Rattus norvegicus: one gene and its partners. The protein of the gene in region 5 interacts with the protein of the main gene of each other region in a pairwise test. Links are inferred from orthologs where the notes say so. Each region holds a gene or a part of one and is shown on either strand. Other genes may lie near its edges. The genes, in order: Tsga10, Lgals8, Gem, Unc45a, Mid2, Ccdc120 and Enkd1.

Region 1 (3,980 bases), on a different chromosome or scaffold from region 5:
CATCTCTCCAGCTCTGTACACTAACGTTTAAAAATTAGTTTAAAAATATATCATTAGGGTCAGGAAAGTACACACTGTACACATAGGATCAGAATTTGGATCATAGCATCCTTGTAAAGAAGACTGGGCACAGCAGTGGGCAGCATGTGCCTGTGATCCTAGCATGGGACAAGCAGGGGATAAGAGGACCACTGGGCATGCTGGTCAGCCAGACTAACTGTACTGACAAACTCCAGGCTCAGTGAGAAATGATGCCTTAAAAATAAAGTAAAGAGGGGCTGGGGATTTAGCTCAGTGGTAGAGCGCTTACCTAGGAAGCGCAAGGCCCTGGGTTCGGTCCCCAGCTCCGAAAAAAAAAGAACCAAAAGAAAAATAAATAAATAAAATAAAGTAAAGAGGGATTAAGGGAAAACACCCAGGTCAGTTTGTAACCTTCACACACATGTATACATGTGCATGTAACACATAACACACAAAGTATCATTGCTCTTAAGCAAACTGAGTCACACAGTACACATTTGGCAAGTAGCTATTATATTGATACAATAATTAAAAATACTGTAGTATTTTCAATTCAGTCCTGAAAACTGGTTCTGGGAAAGCTAAACTAGGGTTAAGTTTTGCTTTTTTTTTTTTTTAAAACAATTCTCTCCAAAAGTTAGATTTACAGACTCATCAAAGTAGGATAGAAGTGCCTACCAGGAGATATGGATAATCCTACAAAAAGGTTATGAATGTCACATTTATATTTATGACAAAAATAAGTGAGTATGTTTTGAGAACTCACTTCAAGCAAAATAGTAAAGTCATTAAAGTTTAAACTTTTCTTAAGGTAAACAACAACAAAATCTCCCCAGTCATTTCACTCCAAGCTCCAAGCTCATCTCTGTTTCTACAATCCAGTCTCTAAAGAAATAACTTATGTTCTCAATGCAGCATGAAACAATGGAGAGGCAGTGTTTATCAAGACCTTAGAAACCCAAGACGGAGTTAGCTGTTCTCTGAAGGCTTTTCTAGACCAAAGGGATTAGTAATTTAAGACTAAGACTAATGGTGCAACTAAAACAAAAAGAACTACCTTCCCCACTGCCTCTCCTCAAAACATGAGATGCATATATTTTAATACCCATAACCCTGTCAGATATTTGAAAACCCACCGACAGTAAATTGTGGTATATCTTTACAGTGGAACACTAGCAAACTACCTAGAAGCAGTAAGGATACAACCTCTAAGTGTTGAAAATAAGCTGTAGAACACCTGCTACAGTTTCCCTTCTATAAAGTCCCCTAACAAGGCAGACTGTAAGCTGTACTTTTGCACAGGATGATAAAACTACTAGGAAAAGCAAGAAAATGGCTAGCATTGCCAGTATGGGGAATAAAGGAAGCGCAAGAGCATGTGACTTGTTAGGGAATAAATTACACCTGTTTTAATGGCCTCTACTTGTGGAAAACTTTAAAACCAAATGATTTTTAAACAAATGAGACATTAGACTGAAAACAGAACCCAGAGGCTCTCTCTTTGCCTGGTTATATTCTGGGCTACGGCAATGATTCTTCTTTGGAAAATAAGTAAAACCTGTTTTTAAAACTGCCATTAAATAATATCGAGGTTTGGGGGTTTGAAAGGAATATTGGTTGATGTAATATATTTATTATTTCTTTCCCAGTAATTAAGACAGAAGGACTTAGTTCATTGCTTAATTAAAATACAATTGTTTTGTTCTTCAAGCACAGTTAAATATAACTTCCCTTTAGCTTAACAACCTATTCTATTCCGAAATTACTATGACTTTATTTCCCGAAAGTGAACAAAATGTACTCGAAATCCTGAAAACCAGTAGAATAAAATGACTAGCTAGTACCGTGGGACATGCAGGTCTGCAGGGGCTTAAAGAAAACACCGAACCCTGTCACTTGTGCAAACCTTTCTTAAAATCTAAATCGTTGACTGAAGATTATATACAAATACTTATGTACATATATACGTCGGCATTTTTAGATATTAAATGCATGACAGATGCCTATTTGAGTCTTGAATAAGTTTTCAAACAAAAACCAGCCTACCCTGCCTTTCCTCTGTACAAACTAGGAGATTGTGAGATTTTTTTTTCATGCAAAATTCAATTTCTCCCTTCATCTGCCTTCTAATCTATAAAGAAGAGATTGAGGAGAGACTGGGGGGTCCTGAAACAGACAGGCTAAACTTCCAAATGCCACAGCTTCACCTCAGTGTCTCTAAGCAATCAGTCCCCCAACAACCAAGCTGAGGCAGGCAGCAGCGAAGCGGTCACCATAGGAACTGGGCTCAACCATGAACTCCCCAGAAACTAGGGTAAATTTTGCTCCTGGAAGCCATCCTACCCGGCGGGTTACCCACGACACAGCTGCCCAAACAGCGATGCCCACCCCGGGCCACCGTGAGGCTCTCCCCACCCTCTTGCAGCCGCCCCGGAGTGGCTCTCTTCTAGCCCAGCGCACCTCCGAGGCTTCTCCCTGGAGCTCCGCAGCCCTCCCCTGGCCTCCGCGGCCACCGTCCTCCCCGGAGCTCATCCCGGCCACTATGGGGCCTATGGCCTTGCCAGAGATCCAGCCCCACCCCGGCCTCCATCCTCCGCCCCTGTCTCCTTCTTCCCGCCCCCTGGCTCCGCCCCGGCGGAGGCCGGCGCTGGGCAGGGCGCAGCGGGAAGAGGGCGGGAGCGGTTAGCTCGGGGCTGGCCGACGCCCCGCCCTCACGCTCTGTACCTGAGCGGGGCTCTCCTTCCACCTCCCCGGCGCCTCCGCTCCACTTCCGTCCGGCGCGCCCTAGCCCCCGTGCGCACGCGTACTTGGCTCGACACGCCCTCTCGTGGGGGGGGGAACTACGGATCGTGCGCGCGCACCCGAGCGAGCACGTAGCGACGTAGACAGCAGCGGGCCCGAGCTGTCAGGGCTCCGACTTGAGGCCTTTTCCTGGTCCATCCGCGCCGCGCAGGCGCACGGCCACGCAGCGCCGTGATGGCCGACCCGTGCGTCCAGTCTCTTAGTAACCATCCTCCAGCCTGCGCTTGCGAGGAGGTAGCCGGAACGCGCAAGCGCGGTGGCCGTCGCCCGGCGCTGGCGCCCCTGCTGCGGTCCCAGGAACCCCAGGCGTTTCTAGCTGAGGGAGGCGGTTACTCCCTAGAGCTGCTCCGGTGCGCAGCCATCGTCAGGAAGCTGTGCTGTGGGAGCCTTAAGGTGGGGGACCCTGTCGCAGCTTCCTGGCGGGAGACGATCTGTCCTGGTGCCACGGGTCTGCTCGGGTCAGGATGGATCTGGGAAATGGCAGATCCAGCATTCATCTCCCCCATGCCAGTCGGGCATTTCTGTTCTACACGCCGGTCCTCTCTAGCACGCTTAGCAATGAAAATCAAGAAAGGATATAAAACCTCGTGAGATGTTAAATACTGTATCTGAAGGTTTTACCCCGAGTTTGGCTCCTACCAGCGAGCAAAATTGGGCCTTTTCTTATCCGACGTATTTTTTTTTCTATTCGAGAGCCTTAAAATGGCATCTCGAATCTTTCTAAATGGAAATGAGCCCCGCGCTGTGCTGCCATTGTTTTTTTTTTTTTCAGTTTAGCATGAAAAGTATTTTGTCATACTGCTTTTGTGAGTGCGTTACCGCTTCTACCCATCTTAGCCAGAAGGTTTTTTTTTTTACCCCGTTTTTATTTATTTTATTAGGACGCAAAGTAAATAGGTTTCTTTGTGGCATTTGCCTTCAAAATTTGTTTCTGTTGTCCACTCCCCTTGCCGTTCCACTCCAGTGACCCCAGTGGTCCCTGCCTTTTTCATGTCACAGTGTTCTGTTACCCTCAAACCACTCTTTCCCGCCTCACCTTGTAGTTTCGTGAGCTATGTCCACATTCACACCCGTATTTACCCCCTACATGTAAAGCTAGAATCGGCATGCAAGAACATAATGGCTTTTGACTTCGTGAGTCTGTTATCTCATTTAAA
Region 2 (3,500 bases), on a different chromosome or scaffold from region 5:
GAGAAATGGGGCTGGGAGGAGATCACCCACGACATGCCTTTCAGAAAAGAAAAGTCCTTTGAGATTGTGATCATGGTGCTAAAGAACAAATTCCAGGTAGGTGCTGAGAGAGAGAAAGGGGGTGTGTGAGCGTGCGTGGGGATGGCGTGGGGAACTATATGTCACCGTTCAGATGGAAACGCAGATGCAGAACAGAGACATTCTTAGGTCTTCTTCCAGGAGGGTAAATTCTGGATCATGTCACGGTTAGGGGAGTGGGTTATAAAACCCACACCTGAAGTGTCCCACTGCCCCTCATGGCTCCATGACAGATCCAGTGCATGCATCTCCCACCCCGAGAGGCCATGGTGCCCAAGAGGAAGATTAGTGTGGATAGAGCGATGAAGGCGGAGCCCAAGCTCCATTCCTTGAGGCTATCGGCCAAGCCCCGCCCCTGCCAAGGTGGACAGGAAGCCGGAAAAGTGGGAAAGGATAAAAACATCAGACAAAAAAGTGCAGATAAAAGGGAAGAGGGAAGCGAAGGGCAAACAGGCTGACGTGGCTGACTACAGATCTGCCTGCAGACAACGGAGAGACAGAAAACCAGAGAAGAGAAAGATACCAAGTCCAACTAAGCTTCCATCACGTCTGTCAGTGGTCCCTGCCACTCTTCTTGTACAATCCAGAGGAATATTTTTTTATCAACCATTTTGTAAATGCCAGTTTTTTAGTAGCTCTAGAAACATTTTTAAAAGGTGAGGGAATCCCACCCCATCCCATTTTTTTAAGTGTAAATGTTTTTTTTAAAGAGGTTAAATCATTTGCTGGTTGTTTATTTTTGGTACAACCAGAAAATAGCAGGATACTGAATCAGGAGAGGCTGTGACTGTGTTGAGGGTCACCATAACATACTGTAGAGGGGGCTGGTTCTATATCCTACAGTACAAAGCTTACTAAATAGCAATTTGGAGTCTCAGTCATGCATTCGTGTCTGGAATTTTTTCAGTTATATCTGGTCCAGTGTTTCTAGTAGAGCCATTTTGTAAGAAAGCCAGTCTTTGGTCCTCGCCCTGTCAGAACTGTGATGCCTTTTGTCATGGCAGACCATTTTCCTAACAGTTGTGATAATGTGCAGTGAAAGATGGAGATTTTGAGTCTGTTCTGTGGTGTTGTGAATTGGTGGAACTGAGGATTATGAGCATTTGGTTGTCATGAGAGGTCTTATGGAAACTTGCCAAGTTTGAGGAAACAATACGTAGCTCTTTGTTTGCGTACATAACGCAATGTGACTCTTCAGCGTTTGCGTACCTGTGATAAGAATTGAAATGTCTGTGTACTCTGCTCCTTGACCAATAGAATCTCAGTTATGAAAATAAATAAACAAATAAATCCCACACCTGAAGTGTGGGAAAGTCTGCATGACCCGTCTATTGGTGAACAGGGAGCACCTCAAAGGGGCATGCCCAGTCTCTCAGCAAGCTACTGCTGTAGAGCCCTGAGGGCCTTGTGAACAGTGACTTCCAGAGGCCCCTAAGAGTGCCAACCCCCAAACCCATAGAGGGCTTGTACAGCGGAGGTCTTGCAGCACATTTTGGTCCAGGTCCTTGTGGGACATTGCCCTTTGGAGCCCCCTGTGCTCCTCGGTTTGCTGTCCTATGCCCTTCAGTCTTTAATCTAGCTGTACCCCCCGTTGTTGCCCTGGGTTTGTTGTATATGGGGATTTTTAAAGCTCACTCAAAGGTCCTACTGTGGGCCCTACTACGGGCTGCTCATGTCTCCCTCCTGGAATCTGAGGTACACCACCTGGCATTTGAAGGTCCTGTGTAGAAGATTCACAGATACAATCTTCCCATCTCACACAACTGTAGCCCACTGAGTGAGGCTCTTCTCACCCCGAGATAAGAAATCTCAAATAAGTCAGAGAGCTTACCGTCACTTTGCTTTGTGTGTGTGTGGGGGTGGGGGGGTTTGTCTTTTGAGACAGGGTTTTTCTGAGTTGTGCTGGCTAGCCTTGAACTCACTCTGTCGACCAGGATGTTCTAGAACTCAGGAGTCTGCCTGCTTCTGCCCACCAAATGCTGGGATAAAGCACCATCACTGCTTGGCTGCTGCGTGCTTTCACCGAGTGAGCTCAGTGCCTTCTTGTCCCTCCCATAGAGGTGGGGCTGTCAGACTGTAGCCCTGAAAGAGGGTTGGGACCACAAGGAGGCAGAGCTTACCTGCATCTTAGGCTTCCAGACCTCGTGAATGGCTCTTGGGGCCCTGCGCATGGTTGTCTCCTGGGCACACACAGATAGATACATGTGGAGCACACATAACATCCAAATGTATGTGTCTGGAGAGATGAGTCAGGCACTTACTCAGACAGTACTCCAAAAGTTCAGAATTTCTGCTACTGAGGTTGCTGCTTTCAGCCACAATGCAAGCAGAGATCTGTGAGAAAAACCTGAGGCGTCATCTCATTCATTCATTCATTCATTCAGTTTTGTGGTGCTGGAGATGAAACCTGGGACTTCACACTGTGGGCAAGTGTTGTACCACAGCTCCAGTCCCACCCCGTAAGAGACACTTATTTGGATGAGGACTTACCTATCACTGTGCTCTGAGTGCATCGCCTTCTGCGTCTCTCCAGGTGGCTGTGAATGGAAAGCACATTCTGCTGTATGCCCACAGGATCAACCCAGAGAAGATAGACACACTGGGCATCTACGGCAAAGTGAACATTCACTCCATCGGGTTCAGATTCAGCTCGGTCAGTGCCCTTCCACACACCCCTGGGGGCTTCGGGGACAGTGTTTTCACGTTTGGTCAGACCAAATGGCAGAAACTTCCTTTAATTTACACCTTCCATTTAGGTAAAAATAATATAACTATTTCAGACCTAGTTGGGTTCTGCCCACTAAGCATGCTTTTGTTGTTATAGGACCTCAGATCTAGAGTGAGCCTACCAGTTGGTTAGTTAGCGTGAATCTCCTGTCCCTGGGTGTGAATAACTAACTATTCCTATAAGACAGTTTTCTATGTATCTAAATTTAAGCTTCCCGGACATTGCTAGCTTGTTTCCAATGCTGTGAACGGTGTAATTCTCAACAGCTGTGCCTAGCTCTTAGGAACATTAGATCTTGTTCTCACAAACTCTCGCCAGTTTGGGGGACCCCCACTGTTGAGTTGCATTTTTAAAAAGCATAATTATCAATAATTTTCCATGGTCAGTATCACCAATAAGTTTTTATTATGTTCAATATTTTAAAGAGAGATTCTAATGGATGTTAAAATTAATGTATGTTCTTTTGCAGGATTTACAGAGTATGGAAACATCTACTCTGGGACTGACACAGATAAGTAAAGAAAATGTAAATATTCTATGAACCATCAGTTTAAAATGTTCTTAGTTACTCTCAGTGGAAGGAAGGATCTTTTCTCCCTTTAATGATGGAGTTTTCTGTATGTGTTCATATGCATGCAGGTGTGTGTGTGTGTGTGTGTGTGTGTGTGTGTGTGTGTGTTCAGGTAGGCTAGAA
Region 3 (4,105 bases), on a different chromosome or scaffold from region 5:
GGACTCCACCTTTGAGACTAAGGCGCTCTAAATCTTTCTTATTCGGTGGATTCTACCTTTGCCAACTTGGTTCCTGACAGGCCTCAGAAGCTGGTCACTTGGATAATTCCCAGATCGCATAGATGCCTTCGGGAGAACTGGGACACCATTGTAACCACAGAGCAGCCCAGCCACTCCAACAGACAGTGGTGCTGGCTGTTTCTTGAGGAGTCACCGGCCAACCCACAGCAGACGCTGGCTGGAGAAGCAGATGGATTTGTTGGAAAAGCTAGCATGGAGTCTAAACACAGCATGTGGGAAATGCCCATGTCCTGGGGACGCTCATGTCCTGGGGAAGAGGCCACTTAGCAGTGCAGTTTAAAAGGTACTTAAACTAGGCTCTGAATGTTGCCTCTGCCTCCACCCTGACCTTAGGCAGGTTCCCTTGTAGCGAGACTTGTTCTCAGTCCACAACTGTAGTAAGGAGCAAGGTTCTCTGGGCCCACCAGAACCACAGGTCTTTGCAAGTCTTTGCAAAGGGTTGTAGCAATAGGACTCTCTGAGGGAATTGAGCCTGCTTCTCCCCATGGCTGGGAAGCCCTGGCTCCAGGCCACATCCAGCCATGCTAAGCAGCTCGGTTCTGAGATGCACCGATCGGGGTGTGATTAAATTTCTGATTGGCATTGTGGCCAGACCAGGAGGACAGCAGTGTTTAGCGCAAGCTGCTTGGAGCCAAACTGCCCTTTTTCAAGGTCTTCCCCACTCTTTTCTCTGGCCCGTTCTCTTTGGATCTCTGCAGGAAAAGGGAAACTGTGTGTCCCCAATCCAGAGAGAAGGTGACAGGAAGCAGGAAGGGCCTGGTTGCTTTTCAGAGCATGCTGTAAAGGTGGCCTGTCCACTCAGGTGGCTGTAGCCCCATCCTGGAGGCCGGAGTCCCGCTCACTCTGATGGGTCTGTTTTCTTGGCACAGCTGGACTCGCGACTCAGGCCTGCTTCTTTCCCCATCCTTTATTCAGACAGCTCACAAGTGCTCTGCTGGGAAGGGCGATTAAGATGCACTAAGTGTATTTTTCCAGTGTCCACCTGATAAAAAGAAAATAAAACAAAATCAAGGAGGCCAACGTTTGAACTGTCTTTTTTTCCCTCACACTCTCCTCAAGGGGCTAAGGGAGTCACATGACTACGAGTAAATGATTTAGCCAAGTGGCTGCAACTCCGAGTTTGCTGCAGAGCCGCCCCCTCCCGGCGGGAGCGCTGACGTCACGGAAAAGCCCCGTCGCGGGGCTGCCGGGCGCGCTATAAACGGCGGCGGGCCGCGGAGGCTTCAGGAGGCGGCACTGCCAGCGGACATCACACAGCCTTAGACTGCGGAACCCGCATCGGCAGGCGGCAAGCATTGCAGCAGGCAGCAGGCATTGTCCGGACCGACGGCAAACGCCCACCCAGCGCCCAGTACAGCCAAGTAAGGGGACATGGATGAGGGGCAGTCCCAGTGGGACCCTCCGCGGGAAGGGGCGTTCCTGGTCACTGAACTTTTTAAGTTGGGAAGGGAGACCCTAGACCATGAAGTCTGTGCCAGGGGTTCTCCCATAGGAGAAAGAAGTTCAGGTGCAAAGGATGCGCTTCTGATGGGGGTTCCTTAATTCAATTCCGGAGGAGTGTCACCTTACAGATTAGGTGGCCAGGCGGCAGACTTCAAGGTCTCAACACAACTCTGTCAACCCAGGGATTGTTTTTAAGATTTAAAAAGAAACCGGCTTGTTCTGTCTAGTGGTATAGGTGTCATGTGTGAGCGGAGTGCTATCCCTGCACTCACGCGCGGGGAGCTTGTTGAGTTAACCATGGAGTGGATGCTGCTGTGTTATCTCGGGCAGTCTTGGCAAAACGGACTGCCTGTCAGCAGGGGAGGCGGTCTTGCAAGGAGAAAGTTGTAGGAAGTTGAGTGGCTTTTCCCTGAATCTCTGACCTTCTGATTTACTTCAAAAAGGTGGAATTCTGAGCTAATTAAATCTTGGACTGGACAAGATTCCTTAAGAATGAAGCACTTTTTGTACAAGTTTGATGTATCTGAACGTGAGCAGGTCCTTCCCCTGTCAGAAGAACCAGGCTCAGGGCTGGTTATGCTAAACAGTATCTGTGGGTGAGAGAGCAGAGCTGAGGCATAAACCTCAAACTGTCCCACTCCCCAAATAACGGTCTCTTCAGGCAGCTGGAGAACATCAGGGCAACTTTACTAAACATGGAAGTTCCCCCAAAGCGCCTGTCCAGTCCAGCCAGGGGAGTGATGTCATTGCCACGTGTTTCCCACTGAGGCACAAAAGACTGCAGGACACTGGGCAGTGAAGAGCCCTGTTTAGACAAGAACAGCTAACCTGGCCAGCTGGTCCCTAGCAGTACTGACTTGTTGCTGATGGTAAAGCCATTTCTGGAGGCAATGGGTTCCTTCCAGATTCCTCTGTGCCAACTTCCAGTGGGATTTTCCTTCAAGGATGGAGGAAGCTTTTGAGCAATGGATGGTGTTACTGGTACTACAAATGACAGCCTGAGTGAGAAGCTAGTCACCGTGTGTGTGTGTGTGTGTGTGTGTGTGTGTGTGCGCACTCGCGCTGTTGTTGTTGTTGAAGACTTTGCTTGCCAGGCTTAGGAAGAGTTTCATGGTTGTTCCTTACGTTAAGAATTCATACCTATCCAGTGAAGAACCCCTGATGACAGTATTGAGACTCCCTGGGCCTGGCTCATTCTTAACAATGTCGCCATCTTTACTGCTCTGATTCCCAGGATCCCACAATGACTCTGAATAACGTCACCATGCGCCAAGGCACTGTGGGCATGCAGCCACAGCAACGCTGGAGCATCCCTGCTGATGGCAGGCATCTGATGGTCCAGAAGGATCCCCACCCCTGCAACCCCCACAACCACCACTCCACTGCTCCCGATGACCACTGCCGGCGGAGCTGGTCCTCCGAGTCCACAGACTCGGTTATCTCTTCCGAGTCAGGAAACACCTACTACCGAGTGGTGCTTATTGGGGAGCAAGGAGTGGGCAAGTCCACCCTGGCCAACATCTTTGCAGGTGTACATGACAGCATGGACAGCGACTGTGAGGTCTTGGGAGGTAGGTGGCCCAGTTCCCGGTGCTGTTCTGTCTTGTAAGCAGGAAGAGCAAGAGGGAGTGGGTCGTTTCCCTGCAGAATTGGGAGCCAGGCATAATGGTACACATTTGTAATCCCAGCACCGTGAAGGAAGAAGCAGAAGGACTAGGAAGTCAAGGTCATCTTCAGCTACATAGAGAGGTTTGAGGCTAGCCTGGGCTATGTGATTCTGTCTCAAAAAACCAACAAATTAAAACAAAACGTTATCTTCAGAATTAGGGGAGAAACGCATGCCTTCTCAGTACTGAGATGGGAGACAGAAACCTACCTACTGGCACAGAGCCCAGCGCGCGCGCGCGCGCGCGCGCGCACACACACACACACACACACACACACACACACACACACAGAGGAATATGTGTACACAGTGACCCAAGTTATCAAGAGGCTTTCTGAAGGTCAGGTCTGGGAGGTTCCAGAAAGGCTGACTCTGCCCTGGACCAGTTTTGGAGAGTTCATCACCACAGATAATTTTCCTGTGACTATGCATAAAACCAAACTGATTTTGGGGGAAAGAGACCTGTTAGAGTGGATCAATTAGTTTGTTTCCACTAACATTAGAAACATTTGTGAGTGTAAGCAGGTCAAATGCTGTACTTGAAGTAACATAATAACTTTAAAAATTTTGAAATGGAAAGATGATGATTAAACGCCCCATGTAGAGCCTGACAGGCCTTCCAGATGATTTTCTCTTCCAGATGAAATCCTAGTTCAAGGATTTATTTATTTAATCCTTACCTATTCCTAGACCCATTTTATACAAACATACATTACACAATATATTGTATATATTACACAATAAATTACAACTGGGTAGCCAGTTGTTGTCATACAGTGTCCTTCAGCTAGAGCCCCAACATCTCATGCATACCCAGAACAGCTGCACCTCCTGTTAACAGCTGTAGAAATGGAGAAAGGAGTGTTGGAACTCCTCACATGGTCTGTCCCGACTCTCAGTTAAGATGTATACCCT
Region 4 (2,609 bases), on a different chromosome or scaffold from region 5:
CGGCAACTGTAATTCCCACTACTTTTTTTTTTTTTCCTTTTCTTTTTTTTCGGAGCTGGGGACCGAACCCAGGGCCTTGTGCTCGCTAGGCAAGCGCTCTACCGCTGAGCTAAATCCCCAACCCCTACTTTTTTTTTTTTTTAAGATTTATTTTATTCATATGAGTATACTGTAGCTGTCTTCAGACACACCAGAAGAGGGCATCAGCTCTCAATACAGATGGTTGTGAGCCACCATGTGGTTGCTGGGATTTGAACTCAGGTCCTCTGGAAGAGCAGTCAGTGCTCTTAACCACTGAGCCATCTCTCCAGCCCCGCACTACTCTTAAGGGCTGAGAAAGGATCGTCAGTTTGAAGCCAGCCTGACTTACCCATATTAAGGCCTTGTCTACAGATTCTCCATGTGCCCACTGGCTTCCTTTCCTTACAGGGGAAGCACACTAGGCTGCAGCTCCAGAGCGTCCCACCCTCAGCAGCCCCGCCTACACAACAAACTTGAGCTTTAGTTCCACATGATTTATTAGAGGGACTAGCCTGCTGGCAGGCTCTGGTGATGCTCCCGGCTTGTGAGGATGCTACTGTGCCCTTCCTTCTTGATGCCCATAATCCACAGACTTGAATGGGATGCGTGCTCCCCATTCCCAGCTCTCTACAGTACAGACAGGGCCCTTCTGAGTGCTGGCAGGGCAGGGCTGTGTGGTGCGTGTCCCCAGGATAGAGAACACCAAAGTGCAGCTGGGGAGGAAGGCCAGTGTCCAGCATCCCAGTCCTGTTGGCCACGCTGCTTCTATCCTGACTCTCAGAGCTGTGATGGGTAGCAGACACATGAGCTGTGGGTCCAGGGCAGAACCTCACTCCCCATCCTGGTTGGGTTGGATAAGTCTATATTCCACGGCTTTCTCCAGACAGGCTGCAGCAGCCCTGGTGACTGGGCTCTCCTCGCCCTTGGCCAACACTGACAGGATCTCCAGGACCTCGCTCTCCATCAGGGTGCTGGCGATCTCCTTCGAGGACTCCATCATGTTCAGCACCACGACAGTGCCCCGGTGCTGCAGCTCCGGATTGGGGCTCAGAAGCAGGGCCTGCAGGATCTCCAGCCAGTGCGTGGTCTGTAGGGAATGGTGGGTGTGAAGACCTAGCAACAGGCTCGACTCTGGCAGAAAACACATCTGTACCCTGGGAGCTCCCCAACAGAAGAGCGATGCTACCATGTGAGGAACTGCTAGTTCCCTCACCCTCCTCCATGCCCCCCACAAGAACAGGCAACTAACCACTTGTGGGATACGGCTGCAGAGTGAGGGCCGCATGGAGGTGAGCATGGCCAGGCCACCGGCAGCAGCCCTCCGCAGAAGCTCATCATCTTCTCCGCTGTACAGCACCAGCAGCTTCAACCGGTCGTTGCCCTGGGCTTCGAAGAGATCCTGTACCTGCGAACAGACGGGGAGAGGACCCTGCTACCTCGGCCCACAGTGTGCTCAAAGTGCAGGGCCGCTGGCATCTCTGTCACGGTGACTAGCTGGACCGACCCTCACCTCTTTGCTCATGGCTAAGTTACACATGCACTCTGTAGCTGCCCGGCGGATCATCTCATGCTCCTCAAACATGTAGCCCTCAATCATGGGCACGGCCTTCTCCTTCAGGATCTTCTGTCTGCAGGACAAGTTGGCACACGTGACTAGAGTCTCCATATCATCCTGTACCACACTACCCCAGGTGGCTGTGCCCTGAGCTGAGGCGCTCCCCTAGCAGTGCCCACAGGCTTTCCTGTGTGGGTTATGAACTGCAGAGCTTTCTAGCCTTCTGGCCTGGCTACACACAGCATGGGGGTGTTGAGCGTCCTGGAACTTAGCAAAGCAGGGTGGTTATGAAGATAGCTCGGTAAACATCAATCATCTGAGCTCTGAACCTGCCCAAGCTGCCTGAACTGTTTCACCTGACGCTCATCATAGCCCCAGGCTTGAATTATCTTCCTTAATGTTCACCTTACTCCATGTATAGTGGTGGCTACCGTCTCTATTTAGCCAAAGCAGAAACTGGGCCGCATGGTGAGTCATGTGTTCAAGGTCACAGTACTAACAACTAATACACATTCACTGTGACTACTGCCAGGGCCAGATACCTAGGAACTAAGGGCTTTCAGGAGAGGTTGGGGAGTCTGGCCTAGAACTCACAGCCAATCTTCCTCCCTTGGCATGAGCCACCACTTGTGCCTGATGAAGGGTTTTATAAGCATTTTCTCAGCCATCTCTCCATGCTACTACTCCACAGTTAGATACCTAACTAACTCTGAGTGGAAGCTGAGGCAGAATGACTTAAAGACTTTCTTAGGGTGAGTGAGCCAGTGAGTGTCAGCAGTCTGAGGAGAGGAGGAGGATGTAGTGGGCAGAGTCAGGGCCCCAGCGCTTCACCCTGCCACCCCTGGCATGACTGTGTCCTCTGTATGTGGCAGAGGAGTCATTGTGAGGCACACAGAATGACCAGGAACTGTCTTCCAAACTCCAGCGTGAGTAACTGGGGCTCACCCAAATCCCTGTGCCAAGCTGCATAGGACCTTACCTAAGCCTCTCACTGATCCCGGCCAGGTTCGTTAGGGCCATGAGGGCCTCAAAG
Region 5 (3,500 bases):
CTTTTCAGAGACCTGCCTGCACTCAAGCAAAGCCAGGGTTCTAGGCTGCAAGCAGAATTTCAGATTGAGTCAGTATGGTGCAGAATTGGAGTTTATTAGGAAGAACGTGTGACACAGATTTGAACTTGGGGTGTTAATAGAAAGAAAAGTGCTCAGGGAACGGATGCGACATGTCCGAGAGTATGAGCATGGGCCTCTCACAGGACATCCCCCTTGAATTCCTTAGCGGTAGCTCAATAGAAGATTTTAGAGGGTTTTGAACTTACACAGTTCAAGGTGTTTTAAAGGGAACACCCTTCCTCTGTCTCTTTTCTTCATTTTGATAAGGAAAGGAATGGGATGGCTGTAGGAACCTTGAGTAAGATTTCACCCTGATCAGGTAAAACCAGGGTCCAAAGGTTACACAAGGGTGTTAAGATGTGCCTTTCCGGGGTTGGGGACTTGGCTCAGTGGTAGAGCGCTTGCCTAGCAAGCGCAAGGCCCTGGGTTCGGTCCCCAGCTCCGAAAAAAAAGAAAAGAAAAAAAAAAAAAGATGTGCCTTTCCTGTAAATGTGGGGATTATTGTGAGATTCCTTAACAGTTGAAGGCTTACAGAAGACAGTCCCTAATTTCCCTGTCCTACTATCCTGCCTCATTACCTCACTTACTGCTTATTCTTAAGTGACTTAAAAATCTGCTGCTAAGGCATTCAAGGAGGATTCTCACTTGAGAAGCTCACACTTCTTCCGCTACAGCTTTAGAACTATTGTTAAAACAGAAATTTATGCTCATTATTCCTCTACTTAAATTGCTCCAGTGTCTCCTGTTCTTATTCTTAGGTTAAAGGCTCGAGTTAAAAACATAGCATGTAATATTTCACATGGTTCTGCCTCTTTCTCCACCCTTTAAGCCTTTGTTAACTGATCATCATGTAGGTCATGGCTTAAGAGTAGCTTCCAGCTGGGCACAGTGGTGCATGCCTTTAATCTTGGTACTGGAGAGGCGGGGGTAGGTGGATCTCTGAGTTTGATGCCAGTCTGGCCTACAGAGTTCCAGGACAGCTCAGACTTCACAGAGAAACCCTGTCTTAAGGCAAGGAACAAACAAACACCAAACCAAACCAAACCCAACCAAAACCAAAACCCAAAATAAAACAGAAACTTGTTCTGGGGAGAGTTGTCTTTGGTCCCATGTTCCTGTGTTTCCCATACCCTCCTTGCATTCCCCATTTAATGTCTCTGTTCGTTCCCCATGACCTCTGAGCTCATTGAACGCGTGGATCACAGTGAACCTGTTTCCTTGAATATCTGTACAATGGAGCACAGTGTAGGGCACCTTAGTTTTGCTTAATAACGTTTGGGTATGTGAATGGATGGATAGGTAGATGAATAAAAGAAAAATATTGGGAAGGCCAGGAAAAAATTATGACCAATTTTTCTGACTTAATATTAAGATTATTATTCATCAAATACTAGAAAAATAGCTCTTCACTGTGAAACCTTAAGATTGTCTTGTGCTGGGCATCTAGTTGTATCCCTTTAATCTTAGCACTAAGGTGGTACTAGAAAAGGACCACAAGCTCAAGGCCATCCTTAAGTACATAGGAAGGTGAAGGCCAGCCTAAAGTACAGCAGATTCTGTTAAAGCAAAAACAACAAGATAAAACAATACCAAAAATAAAATCCAAAACAGTTGTATGCGGTTAACCCCTCATTTATTTTTGCTGTCATGCAATCGATTCTAGAAACATCTATGGTTTCAGAAGTAGGCACAAGCTATTGGTTGTAGATATGTAGTATATGTATTTGCCCAATTGCTCATTGCCTTACAAATGGCTCAGTATAAAAGTTGCTGTTCTGATTTTACTCTACCCCATGCTTCCTCTCTCCACTGGAACCTCCGTAGTGTTTGCAAGATAATGTTTCCTTCCATTTTGCTATCTGTATGCACAAGGAACTTCATTAATTCTGATTCAGAAGGTCTGATACTGGACTAAAATCTGAATATTTTTGTAAAAGTTTCCCCACATAAGTCTAATTAACCATTGGATCATAAGAATTGCTGATGTACATAAAATGTATACTTAAAATTAGGAATAATGTACACGGTTATGGAAACAGAATTTAAGATCAGACAAACGTGGCTTCAATTAAAATTTGACTTTTACTATTGTGTGTGATCTTGGCAGCCTCCTTAGCTTTTAAATGTGCATGCTTCCTTGCTTACAAAATAGAAATAACTTCCACTGTATAACATTGTGGTAGAAGAAAATTAGATACTTTATGCAGATTCTTCATGTTCTTGCACAGAACCTTATATATACTAAGCATTCTATGAACTTTAGTATTATATTGTTTTTGTAAGTCACTCAGTTACTTGTTCAACACATATTTATTCACTATGTGTTCAACATTGTTTTAGGAACCATAGAAGAAGATATAGGAGGTAAAATAGGAACCTATTCCTGTGTCTCTTAAAGTTAGTTGGACAGCCTAAGACTGTAACCCAGTTAGCAGACTGTTTGCATAGCATACACAGAGCCTTAGGTTGAATCCCCAGCACCTCCTAAATGGGACATGGTGGCACATCTCCCTGACCCTCAGGAGACATAAGGAGGCGAAACAGGATTCCAAGGTAATCCTTGGCTGGGTAGCATGTTCAAGGCTAGCCTGGGATATGCAAAACCCTATCTCAAATAAATACATAAATAGGAAAGAGACATTTCGGTGGGAACATAGTTATCACAGTGTTATGCAATTAGAGAATAATGCAATGAAATATGAATATTTTAAAAGATCAAATAATGAATAGTATTAATGGGGAGACACTAACCCAACACGTTGGTTTCTTAGTTAGCACGGAAAAAGGAGACAGAAAGCAATCTGAAGCTGCTCTTCCCAAGCCAGCAGAGGTCTACTTTGATGCTGCCTGCCAGATGGAAAATGATGCAGAGGGGAAAAAATCCTGTATTTACTTCTCAAAATTAAGACAGGATGGCGGAGTGTGTTTGAGGGGCGAACATATGTGTGTAAATATGGTATAACTCTTAATTGGTTCCTTACGATTAAAATGGAAACCGTTTCCGTTGGAAAGGCAGAGATCTGGTATTTTCACTTACAAGTGATTTATTTTTACCTCGTTAAACCAGAAATCAAACACTAGATGAAGGTTGCAAGCTTATTTGGATGTATATTGATGTATTTTTTTTTTCTTTTCAGGGTCGCTATGGCAACTGCATCTTCGCAAGTTCTGATTCCAGACATCAATTTTAATGATGCCTTTGAAAACTTTGCTTTAGATTTTTCTAGAGAAAAGAAACTATTGGAGGGGCTAGACTATTTAACAGGTGTGGAAGAGCTGTGCTTTCCTCCCCCCATTGTATTTATTTATTTTCCTTCTGTACCCATTTGTCTAGAGTAAACTGAAAAGGAAAATATTTGCAATAATGAAAAAAATAACACTTTTCCAGTATGTGTAGTTTTTCAGACAAGATCAAGTGTGCTTCAGGTGGTACGGTTGTA
Region 6 (3,998 bases), about 92 Mb from region 5:
TAGACAGAAGCCCACCTGCTCGAGAACTCTAGTGGGAGGAGGCAGGGAGCTCTGTTCACAGCAGTCCTAGTCCCGAGACTCTATGTGGTCCATTCTGTTGAGGCAGGGTGGTGGCTCTGGAATGGAACAGGCTGGGCACGGGGACAGGAATGAACCCAACCAGGAATGAGCTCAGTTTCCCTTTTATAAAACACCGAGTGTTGGGCAAAGACAGTGAATGCTAAATCACAAGTGTAAACAGAAATGGAGGAAGAAGCAGTCGCCACACCGTTATCCCCCTCTTTGAAGCTAGCTGGGGCCCTCCAGACCCCCAGCACAGGGTAAGAAGAAAAGCAGGGGTATCAGACATCTTCCCGGGCCAAAAGGAAGCCAGGGGTCCTGTGAGATCAGGCAGTTGTCCCGCAGGACCAAGAACAACCACATCTCAGGGCTCAGCGAGGTTGACTGTGTGTGCTCCTCAGACTGGAGTCTGTCTGTCCAGACCGACACAGGGCTTAGGGTCAGACCAGTGTCCCTGGGGTCTGGGTATCAGAACTGGAAGACTGCTCCCCCTCTAGCGTCAGGTCACTTAAACGAGCGCTCAGCTCCGGGGGATACAGGAAATCCGTGTAGTATCTTTAGAAAGGACAGCAGGAATCCGGAAGACAGGTAGGGAGGACAAGGTAAGAGAGGAAAAGACGGATAGGACACACACAGAGAGAGGAGAAGAGCTTGTTAAAGAGGTGGAGACAGCTACAGGATAGCACCTTCAGGTTCTCAAGCATGGAGTAAGCTTGGAAGAGAAAGCCAGGGAGAGCATGAGTCCCTTCCTCCCAGCACCCTGACTTCAAGGCTCACTGCCAGCTGCCCCACACTATGGAAAACAGAAAAACCCTTCTAAAGCTTGGGAAAGAACTCCTGCCACCAACACCCAAGATCCTCCTCCTCAGGACCCCAAGGACTAATAAAAGTTATGTCTGACAGTGACCCCATGCCAAGACTACAGCTCATTTTCTTGTGGTCCCGACACTCAGCAGCTATGGTGACAAAGTGCTCCCTGGTCAGGATACCTTCAGCATCTGTAGCAATACCCCTACCCATCAGTAAAAGCACCCCCATACCTGCCAGAGACAGGGGGCGCTGTAAAACTCCTGGAGTGCGGGAGCGGTGCCTGGCTGGGAGGGCCGTACAATGACTGGCCCACCTCATAGCAGCGGGCATGGAGGAAGGGTGTGTGTGTTGGCCCCACGTGCGGGAGCATTGGCCGGCGCTGGGGACCAACGGCCAGTCCCGAGTTCCGGATGTACCAGTCCCGCAGCCCCTCCAGGGCAAGGTTCTTGTGGCCACCTCGCTCACCAGCTGGAGGTATCCGGGTGGGTGGGGGCATCCAGAGTAATGGGTTTGGATGCACTTCCAGACCCTCCACGGCTTCTGGGGGCAAGCCACAGGGCTTGGAACGGATGGCACGGCTGTTGGGGTCCTTGCTGCGGAGGAGGGGGCTGCTACCATCAGCTGCATATATGGGTGGAGGACCTGGGAGCATGGCAAGGAGCCCGTCTCTGCGGGAAAGGGGTCCTGGAACTTCAGGAGCAGGCAGCAGGTCCCCCCAACCGGCCCCGCCACTACCGCGGGGCAAGCCTCGGTCCAATGAGTAGTCCAAGAGGAAGTCTCCACACACAGGTGGGAGCCGGGGGGGCCCACGGGATGCAGGGGCAGCCGAGCTAGGTCTGGCAGCCCGAGGAGGGTCTGGGGGGCCAGTGGTACGGGAAGAGAAAGAAGGGACTGGTTGGGGGCGCTCATACAGCACCTCACTGCTCTTGCAAACTGGGGGACCAGCAGCAGGGGGAGCCAGCGGAGCAGGTGGTGATCCAGCTCCCCCAGCAGCTGCACGGTCCACCAGCAGGGCCTCAGAGCTATTGCTGCGGCGCGTACGAGCTGCGAAGAGAGAGGCCCGATCCGAAGCAGGGTCAGGCCGAGGAAAGCCCATCTGGGAGTCCTGACTACCGGACCACTGACGAGGATGGAGGCCTTCGGGTCTGGAGAGCAGAGGTGAGGTAACAAGGGCAGGGTCAGACAAAGAATGCAGATGATGAGCGCCCTGGCTGCCCCATCTCTTTCTGAGCCCCCCCCCCCCTTGCTCTAAAATGGGACCAGTATTAGGAGCTGCCTTCTTATAGCGCTGAGCAGTGCGTGTAATGTCATGGGCCAGTGAAGTTCGCTCCCGCACAGGGAAGCTGGCGCATAGGGCGTGAAAATGTACACCAGGATGGGGTACACGCTCGTAGGGTTACGTAAATGTTTCTGGGAAGGAAGCAGTAGCTAAGGAAGGGCACACCCAGGTACTGTTCTGTTACCCAGGGGCTCCTAGTCTCCCCCTAAGGTTATCCTTATGGCTCCTTGTTACCTCCTGAAGGAAGTCCTAGGCCTTATGCCTGGAACTAAAGGCCTTGCTGAATTCTAACCCACCACGCCTATGAACCATCCCCAAACAACTGTCCCACCATGCACAGAATGTAGGCCCTCTAAAACACGAGGCTTCTGTTCACGGCATGGGAAAAATAGACATGTTTAACATTTAGGAAACATTATAGTATAGTGCTTCGAGGCTGACACTAGATTCCATAAATTTCCATGGGTTCAAGCATGAGAACTTCGGTTTGCTCACAGGTTACCTAATTAACCTTTCTGTGCTTCATTTTCTACATTTATAAAATGCAAATGACGGCATCTCCTCAGAGGGGTCTTAGAATGCGAGAAGGAGTTACTATCCGCCACGAATGCTATCAATTATTAGCAGACAGTAGGCATTTGCACATGCTACCCAACATGCACTGTGCCCGTGCCTTTCAAAGGCAGATATCACACTCCACAAATGAAGAGACAAAGATTCAGAGAAAGAAAATGGCATCCAAGAAAACACGGGAAAGCCCCACTTTCACACCTCTGCCTCCAATTCCCACTCCAACTTCTATCCGCCTTTCAAAGGCCGGCTGCCCAAGTCCCACATCTTCGGGTAATTCAACATCTACAGTTAGGACTACAGTCTTCCTCCTCTCATATTCAGACCCACCCTCAAGAGTCCCCTTACTTGCAGAGCCGGGGGCCACTGCCCCGGGTGAGGACAGGGGTAGCAGGCACACTTCGCCCCTCAAAACTGGAGGCACTCCTGGGCAGCGAGCGTGTGGGGCTAGACAGAGATGGCAGGCCCACATCGGGACCCAGGTTAGAAAGTGGACCCACCAGTAGGCCCTCCTGCCAACCCAGGCTCAGGATCCCACTCTTGGTCCCGGGAAATGGGAAAACGGGTTCCTCTTTACCTGGTGGGGCTGGCCACAGAGTTGCGCCGGCTCTTCAGGTCCCCATAAATATCTGATGGCGGAGGTTTCCATGGGGCACGTCGCTCGGGGCTCCCCCCAGATACCGCCCGAAACTGGTCCCAGGCTTTTGGTGGGGAGGGGCGCTCCGTTAGAGGGAAGCAGCTATGAGGCTCTTCTGGGTAGAAGGAAAAATAAGGTAAAATTCAACGAGAGGGCCCAAAGGGGCAGAGCAGGCTCAAAGGGGAGGGGCATGTGAAGGGGAGGGGCATGTGAAGGGGAGGGGCATGTGAAGGGGAGGGGCATGTGAAGGGGAGGGGCATGTGAAGGGGAGGGGCATTGCTGGGATAGGCTTCAACAAGCTAAAGGATGAATGATGCAAGGCAAAAAAGGTAATGTAGAGACTGACCTGTAGGGTCTGGGGCAGAGGAAGGCAGTGAAAGGAGAAACTAAGAACACATAGGGACATGGGGCGCGGCTAAGGAGGAGCTATAGTAGGAGGGGCTGAGCACAGGTTAAGGGAATAGTTCTCACCATTATCATGGCTGGCACCTGACTCTGAGAGGGAGCTGCTCTCCGAGTGCAGAACTACATCCTCTACAGGTGAGAAATGGAGAAGCAAGAGATCAGTCAAGGTCTGGGTTCTAGCTCCTTATACCACTGGATATAGGCACTTCTGTGTAGCCTACCTAAGGACTACTGACT
Region 7 (4,178 bases), on a different chromosome or scaffold from region 5:
TGGTACATGCCTACAGTCCCAGGACTCAGGAGGCTGACGCAGAAGTAACTGTTTGGGGCCAGGCTAGGTTACAGAGAGAATTCAAGGACAGCCTAAGGCTAAACAGCAAGCTACCAACTCAGAGAGAAATCATCTGGGAGTGGTGGTCCAAACCCATTTTGTCCACATCTGGGAGGCTAAGACAGGAAGGAGAATTATGCCAGTTCAAGGCCAGCCTGGGCTACAGGAGTTTGAAGTTAGACTAGGCTACACAGTGAGACCCTGTCTAGAAACAAAGTAGCAGTGGAAGTGGTGGTGGTGGTGGGGTATGATAGCACCCAACAGTTAAGGACACTGGATGTTCTACCCGGGAATGTGGCTTCCATTCCCAGTATCATGTGGCAATTCACAGCTCTCTGTAACTCCAGTTCCGGGAGATCCACACCCTCTTCTGGTCTCTGTGGTGCACAGACATACATGCAGGCACCCAGACACATAATTTTGGTCTTTTTTAATCTCAAAAAAGTAATTAACTAAAAGAAAAAGAAGAGAGAAAGCAGCGTGGTAGCGCACACTTTTGATCCCAGCACTTGGTAGGTGAACAAAGGAGCATCAGAAAGTCAAAGAACTTGAGGTCAGCCTGGGCTACGTGAAACATAGAGATAGAGACAGAGAAACTGAGAATGAATTAGTAGGAAGGTTGAGGATATAATTTTATGAGTACCCAGTGTGCGTGTGCCCCAGGATCCAATCTCCAATATCACATGTTGATAAGTAACTTAGGTAGTTCTTTCAGATATGTATTTAACTGGCTTTCTGTTCTAACCTTCTGCTTTCCCCCTACAAATAGAATTATATCTATATGCCCATTGCCCCTACTCCCTGAGCCCAGAACTTTTACCTACCTGTGGGGTTTCATCTCTGGGGAACCTTTTCTTCCTCTAGCCTAATCCTCACTTGCCCTGATGCCATCAGTTCCTCAGAGAAGGTCCACCAGATGTCTTAGTCTTTGTGAACACACCACACACACACACACACACGCACGCACACACACCCCGTAAGTTAGATTAGATATAACTGCCTTGGCCAAGATGGATATGTCCGCCTGCCTGAGACAGATACCTTCATCCTGGCCTTGACTCGAGACTCTACACTGTCATACTTGGGTGAGCGCCACAGTGCCTTCAGGGGCTTGGGCTGGGCCTGCTCCCGGCTGCGTTCCTGGTCTTGGAATCGCCTCTGAATCTCTTTGATCCGCCTCAAGTTTTCCTTCTCATGGTCTTTTGGATCCTTCCCTGGAGGAGGGGAGGAATGTTGCTAGGAACAGCCCTACGAATGGCTGTGCAACTCAGACTAGATCTCATACAGATTCACACCCTACCCCTGGGAGATGTCCAGTATATGAGAAGCCCTGGGTTCAATCTCCAATATCACACACAAAGTTCTTAAATACAACCAAGACCTCTACATGGAAGTTGAATGCCATACACACAGCAACATTAGCAGCTTATTCCCTTACACAGAAATTGTGATTACCTTCTACATTTTATGATATCACCGAGTATATTATACATATGTCCTGTCTTGTTTATTGACTCCCTTACTTCTTTCCCCAAAATTTATTTATTTATTTATTTATTTATTATTTTTTTTTTTTGGTTCTTTTTTTTTTCGGAGCTGGGGACCGAACCCAGGGCCTTGTGCTTCCTAGGTAAGCGCTCTACCACTGAGCTAAATCCCCAGCCCCTTATTTTTTAATTCACATTATATCCCAATTGTAACCCCCACCCCAGTCCTGCCCCTGTCATATCCGGCTCCCTATTACCCCCTTCCCTTCTCTTCAGTGAAGGGGAAGCCCCCCTTGGGTGTTACCCTACCCTGGGACAACTCCCATACTTTTTAACCTTGTTTTCCTAACAACCATAGGGCTTGGCACAAAGTAGGCATTAAGGGAACTGTTCTATCAAGGTGTGAAAGCTTGAAGCTGGAGCTCTCTGCAGAAGGATGAACTCTGATCCTGCAAGAAGTATTTTGCCCTTCTTTTAGGCTAGAGAAATTAAGACCCAGAAAAACACATTAACTGAATGGGTTCAAGGCGGTTAAGAAGCACCCTATTTTAATCTCTGCTTTTGACCTATGAATGCCTCAATACCCCGTCTGCAAGGACTTACTCTTAGGAGAGACCCCTGAACCAAGGGAGATGCCCCCCAGTTGCAGCAGCACGTCCCCCACACCTCGCTGGCCACGCTCTAGGATCTCTCGGGCTCCAGGCCTGATGCGAGGGCCACGAGGAGGGCTGGAGTCCAGGTCGCGACCTGAAGTCAGCAGGTCCAGCTTCAACGCGTTTCCTTCCAGGCGTCCTTGGGCTGAAGAGCAAGACGCGGTGGAAAGCCGTGCTCAGAGGTGGGGCGGGGTACTCGCCCCGCCGCGGCACCCCGCAACTCACCCGAGGCCGGCCGCCGGTAGTAGTCCGGGCAGAGAGTAGGGTCTGGGGGGATGGGTCCAGAGATGCGGGACGGGCCCTCGCACATGATCCTACCGTAGCCCTGCAACTGTGCATCAGGACCTGTTGCGCTGTGCAAATGTCCCCTCTAATCCCTGTCGGGTGTTTCCACCCTCCACCCGAGCTCTGTAGCCCCGTGGTACCCCCCATCACTGACCCCCACCCCTCGACTACCGCTCGTTTCCTAAGCTCAGCCCGTACCACCGCCCCGCGACTAGCACACGGCCCTGAGGGGTTCGCGGCCCCTCCCCCTGCAAAGCCCCAGCGTGGACTCTCACTGCAGCAGTTTTACCGCCAACTGTAGCAAGTCGGTAGGAGTTGCTGTTGCTTGGCAACAAATGGCTTCCTGAGGTCAGGGGTCAAATGACTAAGGCGAAATGCCTTCTGGGGTTTGTAGTTCCAGATGAGGAGCGAGTCTAAGTCTCGGGTCGCAACAGGATCCTTACCTCTCAACCTGTCTCCCCTACCAACACTGAGCACCGGTCCAGCCCTGCTCTGGGCCTGCGGTCTTCTCTGAGCAACCGTCGAGGGATGCATTGATTCCTGCCATGGCCTCAGCAGGGGCCAAGAGGCAGCCAGAAGCCCAGAATGGGGCAGCAGTAGGGTTAGCCCAGGTTGCAGAGATCCCTGAGGTGACTTGGGCATTTCAAAGCTCAGGAGGAGGAGGGGTAGGGCAGAAGAGCAGGACTCTAGGTGACCCAACCTTCTAACTGCCAGGCCAAGTCCTGCAGGTAGAGGGACCTAAGATTTCCTATTCTGTGGCCAATATGTAGTTAGGAGAGGCCCCCAAACCAAGAGAGATGCCCCAGTTGCAGCAGCTTTGGGCTTTGCCTGACCATGGGCTATCAGTTACCTATGTATGTCTTCTAGTGTCCAGGAACAGAAGAGTGTCTGGTGCCAGCACACGAGACCTGCAGCACTCCAGGTGAAGACAGGTGTCCAGTAGGACACAGCTTAGAGCCAGAGCTCCAGGAGGAAGGAATAAACCTGGGAGAGGAAGGGCTCAATCCAGGGGTGGAAGCAGGAGAGGAGAGAGGACCCAAGCCTACATCATCCATCGTGAGGCCAGCTCATGGGCCCAAGAGAAAGTGAGAGGGCTTTCAAGGGGAAAGGCTGGGGAGGTGGGTCTTAGACCTGGAGATTCCTAAATCCCAATTCCTTCAAGGCAAAGAACCTTGTTTTCTTCTAATGCCCTCACCTCCAGCTCCTGTTTCTCTAGAACAGTTGGGGCGGGGGTGTGGATTTGGGGCTTCTTAGTCTTGTAGGAGACTTAGCTACCATTGAACGCTGGGCCCCTGTTGGGTTTGGAACTTCACTAAGAAATGGACAGTTAACTAGCTCTAGTGTGGCTTGGTGGACAGGCAGGGGTAAGCCCTAGGTTCAAGACACAGGAACCAAAGACTGAAGCCTACCTCTTTCAGGCCTCTTGTCCCAGGCTTGAGTACCCCAGCCCTCCCAGGGCAAAGCTACCATGCCCATCCTAGGGCAGAGGCCGAACTGCCACCAGGGCTGCTGCTACAGAAGGAGGAGCCAGAAGGCAGCCACAGTGAATCCTCGCTGTCATCTAAACAGCACAAAAAAGCCAAGAAACGCAAGAGTGTAGGGGCTCCTGTGCCCCCAGCTGTGGCCAGCGCATCTGCACCCACAGAGACCTTGGGGCTGGAGCGTGAGTGGCAATCCCTGGGCTTTTGTTTTT

Evidence for each region.
Region 1: the proteins of Mid2 (region 5) and Tsga10 interact in binary tests that used the Homo sapiens proteins (3 or more experiments, as listed by UniProt). The two-hybrid records come from large-scale screens. The link is inferred for Rattus norvegicus from reciprocal best matches to the Homo sapiens genes MID2 and TSGA10.
Region 2: the proteins of Mid2 (region 5) and Lgals8 interact in binary tests that used the Homo sapiens proteins (3 or more experiments, as listed by UniProt). The two-hybrid records come from large-scale screens. The link is inferred for Rattus norvegicus from reciprocal best matches to the Homo sapiens genes MID2 and LGALS8.
Region 3: the proteins of Mid2 (region 5) and Gem interact in binary tests that used the Homo sapiens proteins (3 or more experiments, as listed by UniProt). The link is inferred for Rattus norvegicus from reciprocal best matches to the Homo sapiens genes MID2 and GEM.
Region 4: the proteins of Mid2 (region 5) and Unc45a interact in binary tests that used the Homo sapiens proteins (3 or more experiments, as listed by UniProt). The two-hybrid records come from large-scale screens. The link is inferred for Rattus norvegicus from reciprocal best matches to the Homo sapiens genes MID2 and UNC45A.
Region 6: the proteins of Mid2 (region 5) and Ccdc120 interact in binary tests that used the Homo sapiens proteins (3 or more experiments, as listed by UniProt). The link is inferred for Rattus norvegicus from reciprocal best matches to the Homo sapiens genes MID2 and CCDC120.
Region 7: the proteins of Mid2 (region 5) and Enkd1 interact in binary tests that used the Homo sapiens proteins (3 or more experiments, as listed by UniProt). The link is inferred for Rattus norvegicus from reciprocal best matches to the Homo sapiens genes MID2 and ENKD1.

Annotation. Positions count from the first base shown.
Region 1 is NC_086027.1:47,591,262-47,595,241, forward strand, and holds the start of Tsga10 (testis-specific gene 10 protein), read right to left. Parts: upstream 2,801-3,980; 5' UTR 2,746-2,800; intron 2,601-2,745; exon of another isoform or gene 2,554-2,600; coding exon of another isoform or gene 2,482-2,553; intron 1-2,481. UniProt on the Homo sapiens protein: Plays a role in spermatogenesis. When overexpressed, prevents nuclear localization of HIF1A.
Region 2 is NC_086035.1:62,726,353-62,729,852, forward strand, and holds part of Lgals8 (galectin-8), read left to right. Parts: coding exon 1-96; intron 97-2,611; coding exon 2,612-2,731; intron 2,732-3,275; coding exon 3,276-3,332; intron 3,333-3,500.
Region 3 is NC_086023.1:30,010,336-30,014,440, forward strand, and holds the start of Gem (GTP-binding protein GEM), read left to right. Parts: upstream 1-1,305; 5' UTR 1,306-1,442; intron 1,443-2,758; 5' UTR 2,759-2,767; coding exon 2,768-3,095; intron 3,096-4,105. UniProt on the Homo sapiens protein: Could be a regulatory protein, possibly participating in receptor-mediated signal transduction at the plasma membrane. Has guanine nucleotide-binding activity but undetectable intrinsic GTPase activity.
Region 4 is NC_086019.1:143,690,683-143,693,291, forward strand, and holds the end of Unc45a (protein unc-45 homolog A), read right to left. Parts: coding exon 2,556-2,609; intron 1,650-2,555; coding exon 1,532-1,649; intron 1,427-1,531; coding exon 1,271-1,426; intron 1,109-1,270; coding exon 851-1,108; 3' UTR 501-850; downstream 1-500.
Region 5 is NC_086039.1:109,223,820-109,227,319, forward strand, and holds part of Mid2 (probable E3 ubiquitin-protein ligase MID2), read left to right. Parts: intron 1-3,197; coding exon 3,198-3,325; intron 3,326-3,500. UniProt on the Homo sapiens protein: E3 ubiquitin ligase that plays a role in microtubule stabilization. Mediates the 'Lys-48'-linked polyubiquitination of LRRK2 to drive its localization to microtubules and its proteasomal degradation in neurons.
Region 6 is NC_086039.1:17,440,219-17,444,216, reverse strand, and holds the end of Ccdc120 (coiled-coil domain-containing protein 120), read right to left. Parts: intron 3,891-3,998; coding exon 3,828-3,890; intron 3,472-3,827; coding exon 3,297-3,471; intron 3,167-3,296; coding exon 3,068-3,166; intron 2,016-3,067; coding exon 1,101-2,015; intron 616-1,100; coding exon 501-615; downstream 1-500. UniProt on the Homo sapiens protein: Centriolar protein required for centriole subdistal appendage assembly and microtubule anchoring in interphase cells. Together with CCDC68, cooperate with subdistal appendage components ODF2, NIN and CEP170 for hierarchical subdistal appendage assembly.
Region 7 is NC_086037.1:50,503,617-50,507,794, forward strand, and holds the start of Enkd1 (enkurin domain-containing protein 1), read right to left. Parts: upstream 2,801-4,178; 5' UTR 2,511-2,800; coding exon 2,426-2,510; intron 2,346-2,425; coding exon 2,151-2,345; intron 1,275-2,150; coding exon 1,102-1,274; intron 1-1,101. Other genes in the region: C19h16orf86 (uncharacterized protein C16orf86 homolog), read left to right, coding at 3,031-3,114, 3,353-3,570, 3,904-4,148. UniProt on the Homo sapiens protein: Microtubule-binding protein which regulates microtubule organization and stability. Promotes the stability of astral microtubules and facilitates the proper orientation of the mitotic spindle.